Xenopus tropicalis: one gene and its partner. The protein of the gene in region 1 purifies or fractionates together with the protein of each later gene. This does not show direct contact. Links are inferred from orthologs where the notes say so. Each region holds a gene or a part of one and is shown on either strand. Other genes may lie near its edges. The genes, in order: tnks2 and rnf146.

Region 1 (3,821 bases):
GCTGATAATTTTGGCTGGTAAACAGAAAGAAGTGTCAATTTTAAAAAATACATGGTTCGAAAAATACTATTATTCAATAGTTTCCCTGCAATGCGATGAAAATGGCTAAAATGGCTAAATATCTTCATGCTGACTTGCTGTAGTTTTCTTACAAATGAATTTATGGCATTTTACATATGCATGGGAACACAGGAATCTAAACAAGGAAATATTTCAGAACATTCTCATCTAAGCTAAAAATAGCAAAGCTTCACTCCAAAAGATGTGGAAATAAAAGTAATATAGTCTTTACAGTGACTTAACAATTCACACAGGAATGTAAGAACTTAAAAAGGAGCATCAAATACGAGAAAAATTATACCTTGGCTTCGTGTTTAATCAGCACCTCCACAATATCATTATGAGCTTTGTCTGAAGCAACATGGAGAGGCGTCAAAAAGCTTTAGAGAAAAAAAGAAATAAATGAATAATAATAAAATAACAATTTTGAGATCCTTAAGAAAGATTTTAAAAAAGAGAATATAAACTTACTCTTTGGTCTTCTCACTAACATTTGCTCCTTTTCTAAAGAGAAGTTCACACACTTGCTTCCTCTTTGGATAGGGTGATGAAGCAGCACAATGCTGGAAAACGAAAATAAATACATTGTAAAATCTATTGATGACCGACATTTTCATGTATAAGAAAAAAAAAATCTATAACATTCTAAACATCAGCACTCAAACAATATATGCAGCATCATTTTTTTTGGTATGGTTATGAGACGTCTAAACCATTACAAACTTTTAGGGGTACACTGAAAGAAAAGAGGGCTGATTTAATAAGACTGGTGCTACTCTGCACCAGGGGAGTTGTCCATAGCAACCAATAGGACCATCATCTTCATTTCCTAGCTAGTAGTAGGTTGTTTAAAACTAAACAATGACTGGTTGCTATGGGCAAATGCACTTGGCCAATATGTCTGCCTTTCAAAACGTTCATGTTTCTTCAACCTTTATTATACATGAGTGTTAATTTGGAATGTATATGCCTAACTAATCAAAGAACATAAATATATTAGTAGGAATATAAAAATGCTTACAATATGGCATCTACAAAGCTTTAAAACAGTTTAAGAATTTTAGCGATAATTCATTTTCATGAGAACACTGAAGACAGACATTTTCCCTGGAGTATTGCAAAGCTGGGAAGAAAGGGCAGACACATGACCTATGCATATTTGTAAGAAGAGGGAAAAAAATTATTGCTGAAAAGCTGTTCTGCTAGTTCAACAGGATAGCTTGGGCCCTGGTAATATTTCTGCTCAAACAGAGGATGGGTGCATTTTAGAGCAATGGACACCAATATTAAGGACTCCTACTCTTTGGATTTACCCTACAACATGTCCTGCTACTGTTAATAGAATTAAAGAAGCCAGATAAAGGCAACCTCAATGAGGTAAAAACAACATATAAGTAAGCAAGAATGCAACCAGACAAGGACAGGAAACCTAGCATGTGCCACTAGGTTTTGCCAAACTAGCATTCTGGTCGTAGAAGAAATTAAAGAGTCACAGCCAATGCACGATAAGAAAATGTAGCAACAAGAAATCCGTCATGTACAAAGAGTAAAATCAGTTTATATACGATGCCAATTCTTCATAACAGGTCTAACACACTTAAAGCATGCAACCACTTCAAATGAGATTCAGATTCAAATGAGATATTTGTGTGTGTTCAGTAGGTAGACAGATATTTTGGGGTCCAGAAGACACTCTACCCCTCCATCAGCCACAGATATCCTGTCCTTATCAAAGCAAGAGATAAAAAAATGGGCAAAGATTTTTACACAGTTATAAAACCAAATAAACTTGCATACACGTGCCCAATTATACATAGTATATAAGCACATGACATTTACATAGAAACCAATGCAACTGGGTTTGGTTTCTTACCAAAGCAGTGTCATGAGTCTGAGGATGCTTGAAATTCACAATCTCTAAGGAGAGATGTTTTTTAACACGTGTTAGATCTGCTTCCCTGGCAGCTTGAAGCAATGAATGGCCTTTGAATTCATCTGAATAAAAAAAGAAATATAAAAATGTAATTGATTTGTATTAATTATAAAAACAATTTGATACATAAAGGTAAAACAAATGTAAATATCTACTTATTCTTTTAGGTGACAATTTTTATTAGGTTATCAAGCCTATAGAACATACAGCATTTTGTGATATATCTATATCGCTGCATAGATACTATACATAACTCATTTGTGTCATCAGAAAACTAAACCAGCAATGTGCAAAACTGATTATGTTAATTGCAAAGGTCTCTTGACGTATTTTAAATAATCTAACTAGTCCACTGTAGGAAACCCTGAAGTCGCCAATGCCCAATGCTGCTGGTAGCCAATGTCTACAAAATTGGGTGCAGATGTAATTTTTATGCATAGTGACATCAATGGAATACTGAAAATTTTCAACTGCACTCCCTTTAGTTATATCACTTGACAACCTTGCACTAGCAATTACATTGGAATTATGAGGAAAAAAAAAAAAGCTGCACCGGAACATGATAAATTGGTTTTGATTTCATCTTTCAGAAACAGCATTAGATAGATCATTTGAAAGCAGAAAAAAATCTATATCCTTCATACCAACCATTCAGGCTAACAGATATTTTTGAATGGGCATCCTTAACACTTAAAATGAAACAGATGACCAATGCCTGTCTAAACACTGCAAAGTAATCACCTTAAAAATAGCTGAAATGAATGCCATTTCCTTCTGGGAAAACCTGTGGCTGAATGTAGCACCAGAAGTTAAAGGAGAAGGAAAGGCTAAGTCACTTGGGGGTGCCAAAATGTTAGGCACCCCCAAGTGACTTAGATCGCCTACCTTTTACCCCGGGCTGGTGCCCCTGTACGAAGAGAACAGCACCAGCCCGGGGTAGCAGCGAGCGCTTCCTACTTCCTATTCGCTTGCGCGCGCATACGCAGTAGAGTGAAAAGCCGAACTTAAACAAGAAAGTCGGCTTTTCACTCTACTGCGCATGCGCCGGCCCACAGATTTCGCCGGCAGAAGAGAGAGGAAGGAGGAAGCGCTCGCTACAGGTACCCTGGGCTGCTGCTGTTTTCTCCTAACAGGGGCACCAGCCCAGGGTACAAGGTAAGTGCTCGAAGTCACTTGGGGGTGCCTAACATTTTGGCAGCCCCAAGTGACTTAGCCTTTCCTTCTCCTTTAAAAGTTCTAGGTTTCCAGGACATGCCCTACCCCAATCTAATTGTGCAACCTCCTCTCCTGTGAGGTGCCTACACAAGCTACCTTGTTCACACTTGGGCACTGCAAAATAGGGCCCTAATCTTAAAGTGGATTTCAACATCTTAGGCCGTGAATGACTTAACATTAACTGTCCAGGTGCTCTGAGGAAATGCTAGGAGCCTTCTTAGAATTATAAGAAAGGGCTGTCATATAACCACGCAGCATCAATGTATTAAAACTGAACAAATCATTGTTTACTATACAGTGGAGGAAATAATTATTTGACCCCTCACTGATTTTGTAAGTTTGTCCAATGACAAAGAAATGAAAAGTCTCAGAACAGTATCATTTCAATGGTAGGTTTATTTTAACAGTGGCAGATAGCACATCAAAAGGAAAATCGAAAAAATAACTTTAAATAAAAGATAGCAACTGATTTGCATTTCATTGAGTGAAATAAGTTTTTGAACCCCTACCAACCATTAAGAGTTCTGGCTCCCACAGAGTGGTTAGACACTTCTACTCAATTAGTCAACCTCATTAAGGACACCTGTCTTAACTAGTCACCTGTATAAAAGAC
Region 2 (4,391 bases), on another chromosome or scaffold:
GTCTGAGCTCAAGTCTAAAACATACTAAGGAAATAACAAGGATGACATTGCTCTTCTTTCTCTGGCTGACTGCTTTAGACTTCTGTGACTGTGCACTGTCCATCAGGTCTTTTAGACCTTACACTGGTACTTTGTGCCTATGCAGGTGGGGTACAATCAGGGATTACCAAATGGGAGCCTATTACTTTGTGGCACAAGAAGTGAATTATGTTGTAATGTAGGACTTCCATGGTCATTACTGTCACTTGGCTCTGATTCTTCCAGCAAAGCACTGGGGGCTGGCATTCTAGCGTTAATTAGAGGCTGTCCTTCTTCACCTTCACCTATATTATTCCTGCCTATCACAGGATCGCCAATCTGAAGCTGAGCAAAGGAGTTCTCCAATGAAGAAGTAACATCAGAATGTGAAAGGGCATGACTTGCAGTTGTACTGAGGGATGTGTGCAGCCTTGTTGGTAACACAGGTGTAGGTTGACTTGAAGAAGCTCCAAGTGCTGCCATGTTGTCCGCACCATCTGCTGAGCTCTCTCGCGCTAGATTTACATTTGCTGCATCACATTCAAGCCTTAGCCCAGCAACTCCTTTTTTTGGTATATCTACAATATCTCTCTTGATTTTTCTACGCCGTCCATGCTCATTACGCCTGTATTGAACCATGTTCTCCAAGTCTGCTACATAGAGGAAGCCAGCTATCAACATCTCTGTGCTCTTTTTGCCTTTTGTGAAGGCATCTTCAAGCTCTCTGCTTGTCCGCTCATCATACTGCCACCAACCATTTCTTCCCTCATAATACCATGCATATTCTCCATTTCCCCTACTTGCAGATTTCAGTTCCTCAGGTGACAGTAATGTAGGCTTATCAAGAAAGTCCTCAGGAATCTCTTGTCTGCACAAAGCACAACGCCTTCCAAGCCAAGAAGCCCCCTTCACACACAAGTAGCAGAATATGTGTTTACAAGGTAGACTAACTGGATGCACACAGGTCTGCAGGCATATAGCACATTCAGGAACAGACAATGAAGGAGCACTGTTGGGACAAGGCTCAACCAGTTTCTTATTAGTGGGCAGCATGTTAGCAGAGTGGCTAACTTCACCACAACCAGCCATCCTGTTGGTAAAAAAATTAAAAGGTTTTATGAGGTTGATTAGAGAAACTGAAAACCAGTCTATGATAAACAATTGAATTGTTCCAGTTTAAAAACGGATGAACAGAAGAAAAACTGGCAGCATAGGTGTTATTATTGTTTACAGATCTTTATTTCAGTTCCATTTCTCAGGTGCTATATCCAGATGAGAAATAGAACCTCGATTTTATGTTTTCCTGGAATTGATACCATTTTTTCCATGTTAAACCATTTGCGCCACTTTGACAGTCCCTTGGAAGACATAAAGTTAGAGTTCTATTGTTATTGAACAGGAGAAAAAGTTCAGCAGGGCTTTTCAGAAGCCAGCCAGCCACCCACTGGAAATTTATATACTTAGGATATTTTATGGAATCTCTCTCAGAAACAGCTGCAATACACCCCAAAGTAACTGCTGTGCCCTGAAACTTAAATTCCTTAAACTAGCAGTAGATCATAGTAGATGAATGGGAACTCAAAAAGCATCTTTTCAAGTTAGCCTTTTTGGGGGAGCTTTATTAAAGTATTTTAATTGAATGAAAAAAAAAAATGTGATTTGTGTGTGTGTTTGGTAGAGGTGAGGGGGGTTAAAGGAATACTGTCATGAGAAAACATGTTTTTTTCAAAACGCATCAGTTAACGGGGTTTCTCCAGCAGAATCCTGCATTGAAATCACTTTTTCAAAAAAAGATTTTTTTATATTTAATTTTGAAATTTCACATGGTTCTATCCATATTCTTCATTTCCCAGGGTGCTACAGCAATGTGACCTGTGCTCTGATAAACTTCAGTCACACTTTACTGCTGAGCTGCAAGCTGGAGTGATATCACCCCCCCCCCCAGCAGCCGATCAGCAGAACAATGGGAAGGCAGCAAGATAGCAGCTGCCAGTATATATCAGAATAGCACTCAATAGTAAGAAATCTACGTCCGGCTTGGGACTCCTCCAGTTACATGGGAGTAGGTTATCTGAAAGCAGTTCTAATGTGTAGCACTGGGTCTTTCTGAAAGCTCAGAATCAGGCACAATGCACTAAGATGGCTGCCTATACACCAATATTACAACTAAAAAAAGATACATTTGTTGGTTCAAGAATACAATTTTAAATGGTGAATTGAATTATATTTTATGTAAACAGTGTAATTTGGTAATAAAAAGTACAACATAAAATTCATGACAGTATCCCTTTAACTAGATGCAGATGAGACATGATTATTTGGAACACAATTTAATACAGTATAGAATGTTTCTTCTTGACATGAAGCCCATGTTCAATTTTCCGTATTGCAAAAAGTCAAGGTTTAATACAGTATATACTCTATAAAGTAATAAAAAGAAGAGAGCATTTGAGCTGTATAAAGCAGCTGTGGTTTCGCCCCTCTCTTTAGCACTATATGGGGAAAATGATACGTTCACTTGTTTAATTGAAATATTTAAGAAGCTCAGTGTCTTAAGATCGCTCTAAAGGCTCACCCCTTTTGGAAAGCGCTGTACATACAATAAAACATGCATTTTTTATGAGGCCTTAGGTATTTGTGCCAGACACCCTACAGTGAAGAAATGCAAGCTTCTGAGAAATCACAATACACTCGGCCTAAATTCAATGGGAATGAGAACTTCGAATAAATAATTTAGAAGTAAAAGCGCAACCTGACATACCGCCCAACAGTCCCGCTTCTCGCGGGACGCTCTCGATATTTTTAACACAGCCCGCAGAACCAGATTGCCGTTTAATCGTCCAACAACGCCATTAATATCCAGCTCCTTGGCTCCTGCCGGAAAGCTAATCCCGACGTCAAAATTGTCATCTCGCGAGACTGTGGCGTCACTACCACACGTATATAAGCGCAGTGACGCGGCACGTAGAGGGGTGACAACTTACTTCCTTGTTTCACAATTATAAGGCGCTAGTAATACAAGGAAGCGTGTTTGCAAACGTTTGCTTCACAGCTAGTAGTTTTCGCAGTTATAGAAAGAAAGAGTCATTTCGTGGTGGTAGCCTACTATGCATGCTGCCTATATTTAGGCACAACTAAGTATTTGTTTTTTCTTATTAGAACTTACACTTGTGTCAGTGAACAAACCCTATTTGCTGGGTTGACAAATGATTTTATTCTTTTCACGGCTTCTGTTTTATTTTTTAGGTGGATATTGTGTTGCAAAGTCTTTGTTTTACCTAAAACGGTTTTTTTTGGCTCTGCTTTAATGAACCTGGTAACAAAGAAAAATAATTTCTTATCAAACATGCTGCCATCAGTGCCTCTTCAATTTGACTAGCAATGAAAGGGTCTTTTTTTTTTTTTTTTTTTTAAACTAGGGCCAGGTGAAGGTCCCAATGTTTTGTTTTTTTTTTGTTTAGTTTTTTTTTAAGTAAGGGCAACAATTACAATTTAGGGACAAAACTGGTTATTTAGGAGAAGACATTGGGTGAAATAGAGCAGCAGTAATCTTTACGTTTTAGGCTCATTTGTTCACGGTGGTGTCAGTTTTCCAGGTTTTATTTTTTCGTAAACTAATGCAAGACTTTTCACAAGTTTTTAGGCTTTTTTTTTTTTTTTACATAAGAGGATCCTGTGGCCATTTTTTGAATTGCCAACAGTAATCTTTAGTTTATATTTTTACAATTTAGTGACAACAGTGACATTCAGAAGACTTAAAATATCCTAAAGTAATCTTTTACTCTGGTCCTAACTCCAAAGTGCACAGGTTCTACAGTGGCTTGCAAAAGTATTCGGCCCCCTTGAACATTTCCACATTTTGTCACATTACAGCCACAAACATGAATCAGTTTTATTGGAATTCCACGTGAAAGACCAATACAAAGTGGTGTACACGTGAGAAGTGGAACGAAAATCATACATGATTCCAAACATTTTTTACAAATAAATAAGTGCAAAGTGGGGTGTGCGTAATTATTCAGCCCCCTTTGGTCTGAGTGCAGTCAGTTGCCCATAGACATTGCCTGATGAGTGCTAATGACTAAATAGAGTGCACCTGTGTGTAATCTAATGTCAGTACAAATACAGCTGCTCTGTGACGGCCTCAGAGGTTGTCTAAAAGAATATTGGGAGCAACAACACCATAAAGTCCAAAGAACACACCAGACAGGTCAGGGATAAAGTTATTGAGAAATTTAAAGCAGGCTTAGGCTACAAAAAGATTTCCAAAGCCTTGAACATCCCACGGAGCACTGTTCAAACGATCATTCAGAAATGGAAGGAGTATGGCACAACTGTAAACCTACCAAGACAAGGCTGTCCACCTAAACTCA

Evidence for each region.
Region 2: the proteins of tnks2 (region 1) and rnf146 purify together in Homo sapiens (co-immunoprecipitation; 3 studies listed by BioGRID and IntAct, with this or other methods). This does not show direct contact. The link is inferred for Xenopus tropicalis from reciprocal best matches to the Homo sapiens genes TNKS2 and RNF146.

The regions. Positions count from the first base shown.
Region 1 is NC_030683.2:37,227,295-37,231,115, reverse strand, and holds part of tnks2 (tankyrase-2), read right to left. Parts: intron 2,056-3,821; coding exon 1,934-2,055; intron 624-1,933; coding exon 532-623; intron 441-531; coding exon 362-440; intron 1-361. UniProt on the Homo sapiens protein: Poly-ADP-ribosyltransferase involved in various processes such as Wnt signaling pathway, telomere length and vesicle trafficking.
Region 2 is NC_030681.2:67,899,868-67,904,258, reverse strand, and holds the start of rnf146 (E3 ubiquitin-protein ligase rnf146), read right to left. Parts: upstream 2,856-4,391; 5' UTR 2,780-2,855; intron 1,109-2,779; 5' UTR 1,108-1,108; coding exon 157-1,107; 3' UTR 1-156. UniProt on the Homo sapiens protein: E3 ubiquitin-protein ligase that specifically binds poly-ADP-ribosylated (PARsylated) proteins and mediates their ubiquitination and subsequent degradation. May regulate many important biological processes, such as cell survival and DNA damage response.